Xenopus tropicalis: one gene and its partner. The protein of the gene in region 2 interacts with the protein of the main gene of each other region in a biochemical or structural test. Links are inferred from orthologs where the notes say so. Each region holds a gene or a part of one and is shown on either strand. Other genes may lie near its edges.

Evidence for each region. The genes of interacting proteins can lie anywhere in the genome.
Region 1: the proteins of gabarapl1 (region 2) and tbc1d2b form a complex in vitro, tested with the Homo sapiens proteins (2 studies listed by BioGRID and IntAct). The link is inferred for Xenopus tropicalis from reciprocal best matches to the Homo sapiens genes GABARAPL1 and TBC1D2B.

Annotation. Positions count from the first base shown.
Region 1 is NC_030679.2:91,180,943-91,188,426, reverse strand, and holds the end of tbc1d2b (TBC1 domain family member 2B), read right to left. Parts: intron 7,097-7,484; coding exon 6,911-7,096; intron 3,869-6,910; coding exon 3,747-3,868; intron 2,429-3,746; coding exon 2,233-2,428; 3' UTR 2,066-2,232; downstream 1-2,065. UniProt on the Homo sapiens protein: GTPase-activating protein that plays a role in the early steps of endocytosis.
Region 2 is NC_030683.2:18,816,174-18,825,023, reverse strand, and holds the start of gabarapl1 (gamma-aminobutyric acid receptor-associated protein-like 1), read left to right. Parts: upstream 1-3,977; 5' UTR 3,978-4,060; coding exon 4,061-4,150; intron 4,151-8,850. UniProt on the Homo sapiens protein: Ubiquitin-like modifier that increases cell-surface expression of kappa-type opioid receptor through facilitating anterograde intracellular trafficking of the receptor. Involved in formation of autophagosomal vacuoles.

The DNA.
Region 1 (7,484 bases), on a different chromosome or scaffold from region 2:
ACAAGCATTTATTCAAACTTGTTAATCCAATGTATTATTTAAGCATTTTCCTAAATGAAGAAGGCACAATTTTCCAGCATTAGACATTACATTCTAGTTAATAATTGAGCTGGGAAATGCATAAAAAACACATGAGTACAGTGACCATATCTGTGTTTATATGTACTGATATGTTTATATTCAAAACAGTTAACCCATGTACACACTCCATGTGTAGCTGTCGTCCAAATTCACACTCTCAGCTATTCTGGCAGCAAAAATGTTCATAGCAACTCTTTCACAAACAAAAAGATCATTCATACCACAATACTTAAGAAGTGGAAAAATTAAAGCCAAAAAGTAATATAAAAAGGGATAATTATCCAGCATTTTGTGAAAAATATATGAATTAATCTTCAGTGGTGTCAGAACATATGACCCACAATGGATCAATCTTCAAAGTGTTCAAAGGCACTTGGAACAGTGGTTAATTTACATAAAGTTTATGTAGAGAGTCAATAAAAAGAGGCGATTACTGGACTCTTTCATTTTAACAAACAATGTCATCCATAGGTGCAAACATTCTTATCAATACTGTAAGCCATTAATATCTTTATTCTCACTAGCCTTTTGGTCCAATGTGAATGCAACACCTAACCATGTGAAAAACAAAAAAACATGCTCCCTTTTCTCTGTGTTCTCCTTCTGCATTTCACAGATTTCAAAGTGGAGCAAAAGTGACTGACATGGTTTCATGTCATTTTAAGTACCAATATACAATAATTCTCCCTTTCACATGCACTGTCGTAATAAAATAACTAAATACTCCCTTGTGCCAGCTTACTGTTGTTCAGGCGGTCAGAATAATCAGGTTTTAATGACGGGATTTCATGTAAAATCTTCAGCTTGGGCACATAAAAAATATGTTTATATAATACTGCTTAAATACTCACTGCTTAACTGACCTGGACTTATAAGAATTTAAGAAAAAAAGTTCATATACATACTGTTTAACCAGGGCATGCAAAAAGAATGATGTATATAAAGGTAACATTTTGAACGTTTTAAAAGAAAAGAGGGTTAATATATGACAGTAACAAAAATCCCATTACTTACTAAATTCCTTGATTGCACAAGTGATTAAAATGTATTATTATTTAAAAGCGCTGTGTTTCTGAAGACTATGGGGCACATTTACTAATCCACGACCGTCCGAAAGCGTCCGAATGCGGTTTTTTCATAATGACTAGTATTTTTGCGACTTTTTCGTCGCCGTTACGACTTTTTCGTCGCCGTCGCAAAAAATTCGGATTGGTTTTTCCGCCATTTACTATAGCACAATACGAAAAAATTGCGACGGTGACGAAATAATCGCGCAAAATACGATAAAGTCGCAACAGCGCCAAAAAAGTCGCGACAAATACAAAACAATCGCGGCGGCGACGGAAAAAAAAAAATCGCAAAATTTTCGTTTCCAATCCGTTTTTTTCCCATTCGGGATTTGGATTCGAGGATTAGTAAATGTGCCCCTATGTGTGTATATGCAGGTGACAAAGGTGCTAACAGAATATTTTGAACTTGCTCAGACTGGAAACATAAACATTATTTTCATGGTACAGGTATAGGACCCATTATCCAGAATGCTCGGGACCAAGGGTATTCCGGATAAGGGGTCTTTCCGTAATTTGGATCTCCATACCTTAAGTCTACTAAAAAATCAATAAAACATTAATTAAACCCAATAGGATTGTTTTGCATCCAATAAGGATTAATTATATCTTAGTTGGAATCAATTACAAGGTTCTGTTTTATTTCTACATAGAAAAAGGAAATCAGTTTTAAAATTCTGAATTATTTGATTAAAATGGAGTCTATGGGAGACGGACATTCCGTAATTCGGAGCTTTCTGGATAACGGGTTTCCGGATAAGGGGTCCGATACCTGTATATGTGCTGTGTTCTGGATATCCCATAATTAAGAGTACATTCAAAACAAAGAATTGAGTCCAGAGTCAATTTAGGCTGCTTTCTAATGACATGTTGAATACTGATTTTGAAGAGAAAAAAAATCACGTAGCATTTTCCAGTTTTTTTTTTTAAATGTGTTTTTAACACTTGTGTGAAGCATCAGATTTACTTGTCAAGAAGCCCTCTGGGAGCAGTAGCATGTCTCTTGGAAATATGCTCAGTTATTACCAAATCCTTGTCAGGAATACACAGATAGGGAGAGAAATCTCATTCATGCACTAATTGCTTAACTGTCCTCTTCATCGTCGCTTATAAGGTCGCGCCTCTCAGGGTTGGTCTCCCGCTCGCGTATAAAGTCTGCACGAATTGCTTCCAGCTCTGACAGCTCTAGGCGAACTTTTTCCAAATGGTAAGTGCGTCTGTTGCGGATCTGGCGCAGAGGGAATGGATTCATGTCGACAAATGCAATATTACAGAGCTTTCTGAAATATAAGCAAACAATTCAAGTATCTCAGCTATACAGAGTAGATTAAGTAAGATGACCAACGTAAAAGTCCTACGGATGTATTCAAGTACAGAAATACTATGTCCTGTGTTGTGTTTTTACTCATTTGTATGCTGTGTGAAATCCAGTGAAATTCTAAACTAGTACAATTGCACAAGGAATGTAGGCAATGTATGCAACTCTACTAACTACCATTGATTTTATTGAATTAGCATAGTCCAATATGATTTAAATAAGTCATCTTAAAAATAGCGCTGACCATACTGGCTGTGTTTGTAGATCCATTTATATTAATCAGCTCTCGCTTGCTATGCAGTAAGCCTTTATTTTTCTCATATTAAAATCCTGGGAATAATCCATTTTTTGTGGCACAGTTATGCGAAGATTCTAGCCATCATTCATTTGGATACAGAATGCAATAACATTTTCAGGCATCATTTTCAAAGCTCTGTTGTAATTTGGGGTCTACAGCTGATGGGTAAGTCTTCACTTGCAGCCCAACATTTCTTTAGTCTACCTTAGCATATTACAAGGTTATAGGTATACAAAATACAGACTATGCAGTTACCCTGAATACAAACAAAAGGCAATTTATTCACTCTAAATGTTAATCTCAATGATGTTCAGGCAGAGCCACCTTCCCTCTGCTCTGCACCTAGTGCAGCATGTCATCAAAGGCAAATCACACTCCATGTGAACTATATGTACAATATGAATGTTTATGACCTATCATTATTGAGACAGCAGTACTGTATGTTGTATATGAAAATAAATGCTACCAATTATACCAATAATAAATATATGTCTGTTATAAAAGGCATGGAAAATCTAGGTGCGCAGATAAATCAAGTTGTATCTGAAAACTCACTGGGGTCATTTAGAAACATCACACTGTGTAGAATTCGTTACTCTATGATCAGATTCATGTCTTGCACTGTAGAATGGTACAGCAGAATCAGTTTTCAACAGTATATGCCAGGAGTGCCACCTAGGTACTCCATGGAAGTCTGACATTACATTACACTGTTTTGCACTAGGAACAGTTTATATTGCCAACAGATGCAAAAACACGTTTGTAAATAACCATTTTATCCAGAGAAGAACCCCTTATAAACAGACATTGGCAAAAAAGGTACACTTTAATCATTGCATTCCACTGCAGTAATAGCAATGCGGACCAAGGTGGGGGGACCAAGAAGATGGGGCTGAGCGGGTGTGCACCTCTACTACTTGGTTGACTTTAAATAACAGGACAAGTTTCACTAGAGATGGCAGTAACTAGTTTAGATACTTACCGTGCATCAAGGATTGTCCGGCTAAAATAGCGCAAGTACTTAAAAATGGACATTGAATCTTGTAGCTTTAGTATCTCCTCTTCTTTGTACTTAAATAATCCCAAAGCAAAGCGGAAAATCACCTAGGTTTAGAGGAGAGGTAAAAAGGAATACTGTTGAGACAATTAAAAGTGTTTACTTTTGAAAAAATGTGAAATATTGTGTCAAATAATGTAGATTTAAAGAAAATGTTTTTGATTATTTCTGAACAGATTCATTTTACTTTTTATGTTTGTATGGAGGAATCAATTTTGTTACTCGTCACTATTTCTATTTCCTTTATGGCAAACAGCATAAGCCCTATCTTGCTTTATGGCAGAGTTAACACAGGCTAATAGCCACCTCTGCTCAATACAAAGCTGAAAATACAACTGGACTCATTTCAGAAAGCAGAACAGAAAGTCAATGTGTGGTTACTTTTACACAGGATACATGGGAAATCTGAGGTATCATCAAGGTCATTATAGCCTTAGAAGACAAAAAATGTAGTTTGAAATGTATAATGCGGTCTAGCAATGTTAAAGAAACAGTGACATCCATAAACAAAAGGGCATCTTACACAGTCAAATACAATGTAGGTCTCGGTGGCAAACTACATAAAAAAACCATGTTACTCTCATAGGCAGCCACTTGCATACATTACTCCACTGAACACTGCTTAGCTTATTTACTTATTAAGTCACAATCGTGCCATGAACAACATCAGAAGTTTAATTAGTCTATTGCAGTGGTACAATAATGACTGATTTATTTAGTATACTATTGCAAAGTACAGGTATGGGACCTATTATCCAGAATGCTCAGGACCTGGGTTCTTCCAGATAAGGATCTCCATAACTTAAGTCTGCTAAAAATCATTTAAATATTGAATAAACCCAATAGGATTGTTTTGCCTCCAATAAGGATTAATTATATCTTAGTTGTGATCAAGTACAAGGTACTGTTTTATTATTACAGGGAAATCATTTTTAAAAATTTGAATGATTTGCTTATAATGGAGTCTATGGGAGACAGACTTTTCGGAACTTTCTGGATAACAGGTTTCCAGATAAGGGATCCCATACCTGTACTACATGTATGGAACATGTTATCCAGAATGCTTGAGAATGCCTGGGGCTTTACAGATAAGGGATATTTATATATTCTGGATCTGCATACCTTAAGTCTACTAAAAAAAAAAAAATCACTTTAACATTAAATAAATGGAACAGGATTCTTTTGCCTCTAAATTACTTATATCTCAGAATCAGTACAAGGTTGTTTTACAAAATTAAAAAAAAGAAAATAATTTTTAAATAATTTAATTATTTGATTAAAATTGGGTCTGTGGGAAATACCCTTCCTGTAATTCTGAGCTTACCGGATAATGGATTTCATTCCTGTACTACCTGGTCTCCCACCACAATGCAATCGATCTAAAACTTTGCTGCTAGAATCCTTCTGCTCTCTCCTTACAGCCCCTGAGGGGCTGCCTGTTGAGCAAAATACAGCATACAAAATCTTTCTGCTGACATTCAAAGCCTTTTGCTTCTCCCTGCATTTCTTCACCTGTTACTCTCTGAACCACAGTTCTTTTACACCACTCACACCAACTGCCATCCTTTGTCTTTAACGGTTCTATCTCACTGCTCCTAACCTATGGAATGCCATCTCTAAATTTTAATCTCAAACTCAGATCCTACCTTTTGGAGCACTACAACATTATCTGGTTCAGTCTTAGGGCTCTGGCACATGGGGAGATTAGTCGTCCTCTCAAGGCAACTTTCACTGAAACCGCGCCGCCGCGTATGCCATCCCACCGGCGATTTACATTTTCGTCAGTGGGATGGTATTTTGGGGAGATTAGTCGCCCGCGAACAGGGAGATTTGTCGCGGACGACTAATCTCCCCGTGTGCCAGAGCCCTTAGCCCATTTATCAAAACCATGAATGTTTAGTCATTTATTAAAAGATCCAAATATAAAAAACACAAAAGAATTAAAATGCAGAACGAAAATGAAAAGAACACATAAACGTAAAATTTTTCAAAAGCATTTTAAAAATCCATAATTCATAAAAATATGAACGATAGTAAATGGGCCCCATAGTTTAAATTAAAATACCCCTAATCTCAAAGGCAATAATGAATACTATATGGTGCAAGGTTAGATCTGTATTCACACAAGCAGACTGCAAGTAAACCATCAGGTCTGCCTAGCTGCTGATTGGCTGGCATCCTAAAGTGCAAAGCGCTGCTGGCTCTTCTGCACACTCTGGGAAAGCAGCCAGTGGGAAGAGGAACAGATGGGTGGTGCTAGTACAGTTTTGGGGGAAATTAGTATAGCAGTAGTTATAGTACTAGTATTTAGTACCATTATATATAGTATAGCAGCACAAAGCACACCCCTCTTTTCTTTGTATAACATCCCTTCTATATCTGTATAATGCAATGGCACATTCTTGTTTTTTACATATGTCCCCTTTAAGGGCCAATGCCCCTACCCTTCTATTTGTGCCTGTATGTTATCCACTATATATAACACCCTATATAAACACTGTATTAAAGAAGCAAACCTTTTTTTAATCTCTAAAGTTACTCTGTACAGCCCCTAGAACAAAATACCTTTCTCCAGCCTTATTTTTTTTGCTTTTTATTACTGCCTTTTTGACCCCTTTCACCTTCTGAGCACTCCCTTCACTCTCCAACTATGATGACCTCAAAGAGGTGCCTACTGGGCATGCCTGACTGATTGCAAAAGGGTTGGAGCTTCATACTACACAAAGAAGTAACTAAAAACTACAATAGAGAAACAAAATAAATCTGCATGCAGGGAGAAAGGTATGTTATTATGGGGGCTGTTTAGAATAATTTTAGGGGATTTTAAATATAAGGCTTACTTTATCCTTTAACCAAGAATCACTTAAAAATACAGAAGTCAGCATTAACTTTTAATTAGACTATGGTTTGTCATTAAACAGCTTCCCATTTGGCAAAAGTGACGGCAGCTGCCAACAGTATACAGCATTTTCATCACCACTATTCTCAGAAATAACACCCCAGTAATCAAAACGCCACGTAGGCAGAGAACATTATAACATTTTTGAGCAAGAATTTAGGGGACAGTTTAGACCAGATTTAATCCTTACCTTTGAACCCTCATACAGTAAGGAGTCCCATATCCTGAACAAGATGTCACTGACCACACTGTCCACAAACACCACAAGGAACCAATTAAATGTAATCAAAGTGTAATCCACTTTATACTGCTCAAAGTGAGCACAGAGACGAGGCAACTTCTCATTCATCAAGTCCTTGAACACACGCTGATCAACCTATATGCAAGAGGAAAAAACATTGGTACCTTAACTACTGCCAAATTTTTTATGTCTGCACAACCAGAAAATCACATGTAAGGGTGATGGCAGACAAGGAGATTTGTCACCTCATGGTAAATCTGCGCTACCACAGATGACAAACCTCCAGAATACCATCCCCTTCTATAACATTTGAATTGCAGCAAGTAAATCACATAACTCAGCAGCTTCAGCATGGGAAAATGGAAAGAAGGCATTTCCCTATGATTAAGCTGAATCACCCGAGTAATGTGATTTGCATTGATTCAACTGTTAGACAAGGGGATGGTACTTTCAGGAGTTGCCACAGTATTGCTGATTTACCACGAGCAACAAATCTCCTCATCTTCCATAATTCTAAGACAAT
Region 2 (8,850 bases):
AGGCAATTCTCAGTATTGTCTATGGCAGGGGATTTTGTGGAGTTTAGTAGCCGTGACAAGTAGCTGCTACTAAATAGCTCAGTGTGTCTTTACCCTTCATCTTGTTCAAACAACTGCCTGGTTGCTAGGGGAAATTGCAACATAGCAACTAGAACACTTCTAAATACCAAACTGAAGAACTGCTGAACAAAACTTTAAATAACTGAAAAGCCATAAAAAATGAAGACCAATTGCACATTGTCTTAGAATACCAATGTCTGCATCATACAAAAAGTTAATTTAAAGGTGAACTACCCTTTAAATAACCATCAGCCCTGAACTGGGATTCAAAATAGTCTCGGGCATTTCAAGTACACAGAGGCCCAAACAGCCCCCCCCAGCCCAATAAATAGTGACTGTCTATGGCACCTTACAGCAGCCCCTCTGGCATTTGCCTGAACCCACAGATTGCCAGTCTGGGCCTGATAACCATTGTATTCTAAACAGCTTATCTATAAACAAGCAAATATGAGCCCTAAGTTCCTACTGGATTCATAATATAAATGATAGTTCAACATTATATTGAACCCTTTCATTGCAGTAACAGCAGGTACAGTATGCTGCCAGTTCCGTATCCATATACCAACGTGCTAGTATATAGTAAATAGCAATATTCTCTCAGCGCCTGAGTTATTGGCTCCATAAGCACAGCTAATGAAATAACATATATTTTGTACCTCCTTCTGTGCCAAGACGCTGCAGCTGATGAATTGTCTTACAGCCTATAGGAAATTACTGTGTCGTAACTGCCAGCTGTACTAGGGAATTATTTCAATAAAATGACCAATGCATGGATGTAATTCAGTTTTGCTGTGAGAAATTCTCAGTGCCTGTTCTGCAAACTGCCTGCATTGAATAATAGCCTATATGCCAGCCTGTCATGGGTACTAGGTAGGGAATGCTGCAGCGATGGAAAAACCAACCAAGCCAGAAAATGTTCCATGTTTCAAAATGATGGAGATTAGTTTGTGTAATTTTCTGTGATTTCAGAAGTTCAAGCCCCATTTGCTTCTGACACCTTTAAATCTGGGCTCCTATACAATACACATGCTGCAGGGCTGATTATTGACTGGTTCAGCAAATGCTCGATTGATGGAAAGTGTAGTCATCACTGCAGGGATATATAGACATCTTTCCATTTTGCAGGGTTTGTTTTTTAAAGGAAAAGGTGGCAGTTAGAGCCAAGTACCCCGAGCCCTGCAGAGCAGCAGTAGCAGATAGGAAGAGAAGGGGGATAGAAGGCAAAATGGAAAGAACTGGATAAGATAGTGGCATTAAACTGTTATATCTGGGCCCTACAGCTGTTGTTGGAGCACATCTCTCAGCAGCTACTGACAGCAAAGGGTTAAATACCCATAAATCATGTGAGCATTGTAGGCAGTCCTGTTGGAGAAGAGGGCAGTTATGTTACGTATGTGTTTGCATGGAGGAAACTGGCAGATGGGGATATTTGTCTGCATTCCCTCCTCTGTACATTCCCAGCCTGTATCTCTGGTGTCCTTGTTAGCAAATGAGAGAGGTGAGCCCTTTGCTCCGCCCCTGCCTGCACTGCAATGAGAGGGGAGGGGCTCCTTTTTATTGTTGGGCTGATGTTAACCCATTCAGTCAAAAGCTTTATTTTACCAATTATGAATGGCCCTGTAACTACTGACAAACGCAATTCACAAACATCTAGATCTAGAATTTTTTATATAGTATTCTTGTCCTCTTCAATGTCGTATACATATATATATATATATATATATATATATATATATATATATATATATATTTTAGATGTTGTTTTGAATAAACACCTTTTGTTTCACCATATATATATATACAGTATATATGGGATTATGTAATGTAAGGCACTATATTGGCCCAGGAGCTAGCAATCAGTTGGTAGAATTTACTGGTCACCTGTTTAAAAGCTCTTATTGATTGCTATGGGTTACGGTTACTGGGCAACAGTAGTGCCTTTTATTACATATGGGGGATACAGTCTAGAAAGTAGGTTCATATACAGTATGGCTGGTTTATTTGCTCTTCTGAATTATATTCATGTCAGTTATATTATTTCAGAACAACAAATAAGCCAGCCCGTTGTATGGGAACCTACTATCTAGTCTACAGGAGGAGTATGAGATTTTGACATGATTTGTGGACCCAGGATTGGATGGGTACAAGGTATGGGATCCATTATCCAGAAACCCATTTTCCTGAAAGCTATGAATTACGGGAGGCAAAACAATCCTACTAATGTTTAAATTATTGTTTAGTAGGCTTTAATGGGTTTAGTATGATGTGGAAGGCAATATTCTAAGACAATCTGCAATTGGTCTTTATTTTTTATCATTTATGTTTTTTTATGTATTTTACTTTTATGTCCAGCAACTTCCCAGTTTGGAATTTCAGTAGCTATCTGGTTGCTAAGGTCCAAATTAACATAGCAACCAGGCAGTGATTTGAACGAGAGACGGGAATTTGAATGGGAAAGGGTCCTGAATAAAAGACAAGTAATAAAAAGTAACAATAACAATACAACTGTAGCCTTACAGAGCAATAGTTTTTGGCTGCCGGGGTCAGTGACCCCCATTTGAAAGCTGGAGAGAGGCAGAAGAGGAGAAATAATTAAAAAACTATAAGAAATAAAAAATGAAGACAATTTGAAAGTTTGCTAAGAGCTACCCCTTTAAGACTTCTGTCACAGAGAGGAAGTTAAAGGGGATTTCCACCCCTAAAATAGTTTTTTGCATAATGAAAAACAATCCAAATTTCCAGTGCACATTCTGTGATTTTCAAGTTATTTGTAAAGGAAATTTCAGCTAAAAGCTGTGTTTGTTTATCTCTTTCTGTTCTCTGGTTCTGACTCTTGAAACAATGTAGCAGGAGTCAGTTCTCCTCCAGGTCTGCTAATCAGTCGGCTTCTGTTATTGTGTTACCACAGTCAGAACCAGCAGTGCAGAAAAGGTATAAGTCAGTGGTTCTTAACCGTCATAATGCCGCGACCCTTTAATACAGTTCCTCATGTTGTGGTGACCCCCAACCATAAAATGATTCCTAACCCCTGTGAAAGGGTCCTTCGACCCCCAAAGGGGTCCCGACCCACAGGTTGAGAACCGCTGGTTTATCTTTTCCTGTTCTCTGGTTCTGAAACAATGTAGCAGGAGTCAGTTCTCCTCCAGGTCTGCTAATCAGTCGGCTTCTGTTATTTTGTTACGACAGTCAGAACCAGCAGTGCAGAAAGGGTATAAGTCAGTGGTTCTCAACCTTCCTCATGTTGTGGTGACCCCCAACCATAAAATTATTCCTAACACCATCAGAAATATGTGTTTTCTGATGTTCTTAGGCGACCCCTGTGAAAGGGTTGTTCGACCCCCAAAGGGGTCCCGACCCACAGGTTGAGAAGCGCTGGTATAAGTGAAAGTGTGGCTCGGCGCCAGGGAATAGATTATGGGCTACAGATCAATGGCCGGAAGTGGTTATACAGGGACTTTGGCCGCTCTCTGACGCAGGTTAATAATGAGGCCCAGGTCCCTGGCCAGTCGCAGGTTAATAGTGTTATGTACCGCAGTGCTGTACTGTTGTGTCACCTTGCCTTGTGACTCTGGCTTTCACGTGATCCACAGAGAATAAACAGGTGACTCAGACAAACAGGTTTGCGTGTCAATCACTTGCCATGCCCTGTGCCACTGCCTATTTACTATATCTCATCCTGGCCTGCACCCTTCCCACTAACCCCCACCCTAAAAACCCTGGAATATGATTTCAGCGCCTGCGAGCTATAGGGTTCTTTAAACTGAGACTGTTTATTTTTCATTTGTCCTGTCTGGCAGAGAGAAGGTTAATTTCAGCATCCCCCTTTGTTTTGTTCTGCTGGTACTGCCCAGGGGCGGGGCTTAGTGATGTCACATTGCCCTTGCTCAGTACACTGTAACATAGCTTGTTATTGCATCTGCTGAGCAGTAGACAGCGAGGGGCATCAGCTGACTGATATATACATTTATATACTGTATATACACTATCTCCTGGGGCAGCCATGAAATTCCAGTATAAGGAGGATCATCCTTTCGAATACAGGAAGAAGGAGGGCGAGAAGATCAGAAAGAAATACCCGGATAGGGTGCCTGTAAGTAGGGACAGCAGAGCTGTGTCATCTCCCTATGGATCCCACTCTCCATCCCTTGTATCCCTTGTATCTCTCTCCTACCCACACTGTATCCCTGTCCTACCTACACTGTATCCCTTGTATCCCTGTCCTACCCACTCTGTATCCCTTGTATCCCTGTCCTACCCACACTGTATCCCTTGTATCCCTGTCCTACCCACTCTGTATCCCTTGTATCCCTGTCCTACCCACACTGTATCCCTTGTATCCCTGTCCTACCCACGCTGTATCCCTTGTATCCCTGTCCTACCCACTCTGTATCCCTTGTATCCCTGTCCTACCCACTCTGTATCCCTTGTATCCCTGTCCTACCCACGCTGTATCCCTTGTATCCCTGTCCTACCCACGCTGTATCCCTTGTATCCCTGTCCTACCCACGCTGTATCCCTTGTATCCCTGTCCTACCCACTCTGTATCCCTTGTATCCCTGTCCTACCCACTCTGTATCCCTTGTATCCCTGTCCTACCCACACTGCATCTGTACAGCACCCTAATGTCCCCCTGTCAGCACAGATATGGGTTCCCTTAGAGTGAATTCCGACCCAAAAACTGCTTATTGCACAATGAAAGACAATGTAATTCCAAGCGACTTTCCCATGTACATTTGTTATAGTATTTCGGTGTTCGATGTCATTGCTATGGGAAGTACCGTCTGTTCCTATTCTCTGAACTCCTCCTGTGACAATGGAACAATGTAGCAGCCCCTGGGCGGGCAGGACTTCTGCTACATTGTTTCAACTCTGGAAAGGAAGCGGCAGAAAGGGAGAAATTAATGTTAATTTCAACGGCAATTACACTAAGTACAAACCATTAAAATGGAATGTACATTGGAAAGCTGCTTAGAATGACATTTGCTATCAGTGTGCGTAAAACAGGTTTTGGGTGGAGTTCCCCTTTAATTCCTTGGCTTTCTGCTGACGGCACAGAGCTTTGTAGTTGTGCTGTTCCTTCGGTAGGGAGCTTTGTGCTCTCTGCCAGACTTCCTATGGGCCGCAGTCATTGTTAGAGACATCTGTAAGAAAGAAAGCCACTCATTGTCACCTGCCCCTCCTCCGATTCCTGGTCTGTCACCTTCTGCTGCCACTGAAACATGTACTGTCTGTTGCTATGGACTGTCACTGCCACTGCTGCAAAGCCATTGGCTGTCAGCTGCCCCCACTGCAGAGCCACTGACTGTCACCTGCTGCCTTTTCCTTGGCTCATACACTGCCCCCCCCCCCCTGCTATAGATCTGTAGCTTTATACCCCCCTCCCAGGCTACAGCTCCTCATTATATCAGTCCCAGCAGTGCGAGTCCTGCATGTCACTTTCCCTTGGTGCAGAACATTGTCCTGTCTAGTTACTTATTGACTGTCACTTTCCCTAACCGCAGAGCTTGCAGAACCATGTACTGTCACTTATGTAAGCTCTACGGGGCAGGGACCTCCTTCCCACTGTGTCTCATACCACATGGCACTTATATATATATATATATATATATATTGTATTTATTTATTATATCACTTGTCCTCCCTGTGTGTAATTGTGTATATTGTAAGATTTTACAGCGCTGCGTACCCTTGTGGCGCTTTATAAATAAAGTTATACATACATACATACATACTCTGGCTGCAGAGCCTTGTCCTGCCTTGCAAGCGACTATACACACTCGGAGCTACTAGTAGCAGCTACTTTTTCACGGCTCATTAAATGATCAGCATTGTCTAATTTAGTAGCCAAGACAAGTAGCTGCTACTAGTAGTTCTGTGTGTCTTCACCCTAAGAAGGATTTATCTCAAGGTGGGGAGGCATAGGCCTTTCTACAATGCCCATGTTTGTCTTCTTCTCCCAGGGTAAATACATTAGTAATACTAGTCATCAGGGACAGACCTTCTCCTGCTCCCCCCCTGTATATAATAATTACGTTATTGTCCGGTCCCCTGGTCATAAACTGTTATTCACAAGAGCTATGAATATCTTGTAACTGATATCCTTATAAACAGTGCTTAGTGATGTCATTAGTTATAAACGGTGCTCAGTGATGTCATTTGTGTTACATGCAGGGTCGGACTGGGCTGGCAGGACAAAAACGTGGTGGGCCCCACTGGCCCAGAACTGATCCCTGCTGGGCTCTCCGAGGCCCGCAGGTCCCCCTCTCCCAATGTGCCTAAGTATGCACGCGTGGGGGAGGGGGTTGGGTGGGCAGCAGGGGCCCGAGGGTGATGGGGACCATGGTGGAGGTCCCTTGGGGGGGGGGTGCAGAGCCCCCGCGGTGACTTGTCTTACAATTTTGAGTTCCCTGACCTGTATAAAAGTGCTCAGCCTGTGTCCTTGTGCGTTTATATGGCTATGGGTCTCATATGTAACTGTTAATATCCTTGTAATACACAAGAACCATGAGTTTCCTTTAACATATATCCTTATAAACAGTGCTTAATGATGTCTTTGGCCTTGTGTTTTTATATGGTCAAAGTGACTTATAATATCCTTATATTTGTATCTTTCATATAACCAAGAGCTTTAATGTGGATTCTATAAAATGTTAATATTTATACATTATAGAAGAGATTGCAGGGCTAATTAGTAATCTATCCCCCATATGTTATACAAGGCACTAAGTTTCCCCAGGAGCAGTAATAGCAACCAGGAGGTTGAGTTTACTGGTCATGTGTTTAAAAGCAAACATCTTATTGGTTGCCATGGGTTACTGCTCCCGGGCAAACGTAGTGCCTTTTATTACATATGGGGGTAAATATGGTAGTGTTGTAAAGGGCAACTAAAATATCCATATAGTTATTTAAGCCATAGAGCTGCTGTACTTGCACTTACATACGGCAGCACCGGACACCGTAACATACAATATGCTCTGCCTCCTCCCCTTATGTCTCTTCCTTTTGTGCCCGTCTGTACATACCATATTAATGGTGCCCAGTAGGCATATCTCAGTGGCACCACCAGCTGATGGAGACTGCAGTCTGTGTGACTAGTGTGTGTTACTGGCAAATAGGTGCTACAGGGCAACCCGGGCCTTTCCTCCTCTACTGCCTGCACTGCAATGAGAGGGGAGGTGTTTGCTTGCGCTGTAGTTAACCCTTTCAGTACTTGGCTGCTGCAGTCCAGGCCGTTATTATGCTACAGATGCCAGTATATATTATATATATATATACATGTTATTTATTGGGCATGATAAGTCACTGCCTGCTTGTTTTACACATTCCCCTCCTGTGTTCAACATAATTACATCATTGTAGATTTATTATTCTCCTTTATGAAAAACATTTATTTGGAGTGACAGGATTCTCATGTACTAATATAACAAATCAACCATTATGCATACAAATTATCGATATATTTATAATATATCACTATATTTATTAAGGCAGTCTGGTGTAAACTATAATTTTTTTATACCTACGCAGCTATAGTATAGGATGCATAAGTAAATTGTCTCCCTCTCGTATTTGATGATGCAGACTTCCAGGCATTCTGACTTTAAAGGGGAAGTTCACCTAAAATGTAATTTGTTGTTGTATGTTGAAGCTTTTTAGTTCTGCCTTTCCCCAAGCACTATATCTTTTTCTATCATTTATTTATATATATATATATATACAAAATGCAGAATGAAGAGCACACCAAAGTTAAAATGCACTACCTGGGTGCCAGAGCAGCAGACATGGAATAGAAAATACAGAATGTCGGCACTCACAGGATTTTCACGAAAAATAGTCACTAGCAGTCAGTCATGTTTTAGAGATGCAATCAAGTGGAGTTTATTAATCCAACGTTTCAGTTCCCTACTGGAACCTTCGTCAGGGAAGCACATTGCATCTCTAAAACATGACTGACTGCTAGTGACTATTTTTCGTGAAAATCCTGTGAGTGCCGACATTCTGTATTTTCTATATATATATATATATATATAAATGCTCCAGAAGAAATCGGGAAGTCACGGCGAAAGGATCGGAGACAACAACCGCAACGGAAAGTTCGCAACAGATAGTATTTAACCTTTCTTCAGTTGAACTAACGCCATTACAAATACAGGTGTTAGAACGGGGCTTAAACTTTTGTCCTACATCACAGTTAGATTCTTTTCAGTTACAGGTGGATTTGTATCGTTTTTTTCGAGCATTAAGACTCAAAGTACATTTCACTCATAATATGACATATAATGAAGCTGAAAATACCGAATGTGGTTTTGATATTAGCAAGGTTGGCTTAAGATCACGTAGCCATTTTGTCCCCCCCACAACATATCCGGCAGTAGAAATGTATATTCAAAAAGTTCGGTCTGAGGTTGAGTCTGATATTGAACATAGTGCCCATAAGGGCCCATATAATATGTCTAAAGCTGAAATTGAGACAATAACCGAGCTTAAATCGATGTCCAGCATAACTATCAAACCTTCAGATAAAGGAGGGGCGATAGTTGTTATGGACACGAACAAATATATTGCTGAGATTGAACGTCACTTGGGGGACCTTGGAGTTTATATCCCATTGAAAGGTGATCCAACGGAATCCTTTAAACGGAGCTGGATCACTTATTAAAGCATGCAGTACTATCTAATGTTATTACTATGTCAACGTCACAATATATGTGGATAGACTTTCCCATTATACCTGTAATTTATGTACTTCCTAAAATACATAAGGACCCCATTAATCCACCAGGTAGACCT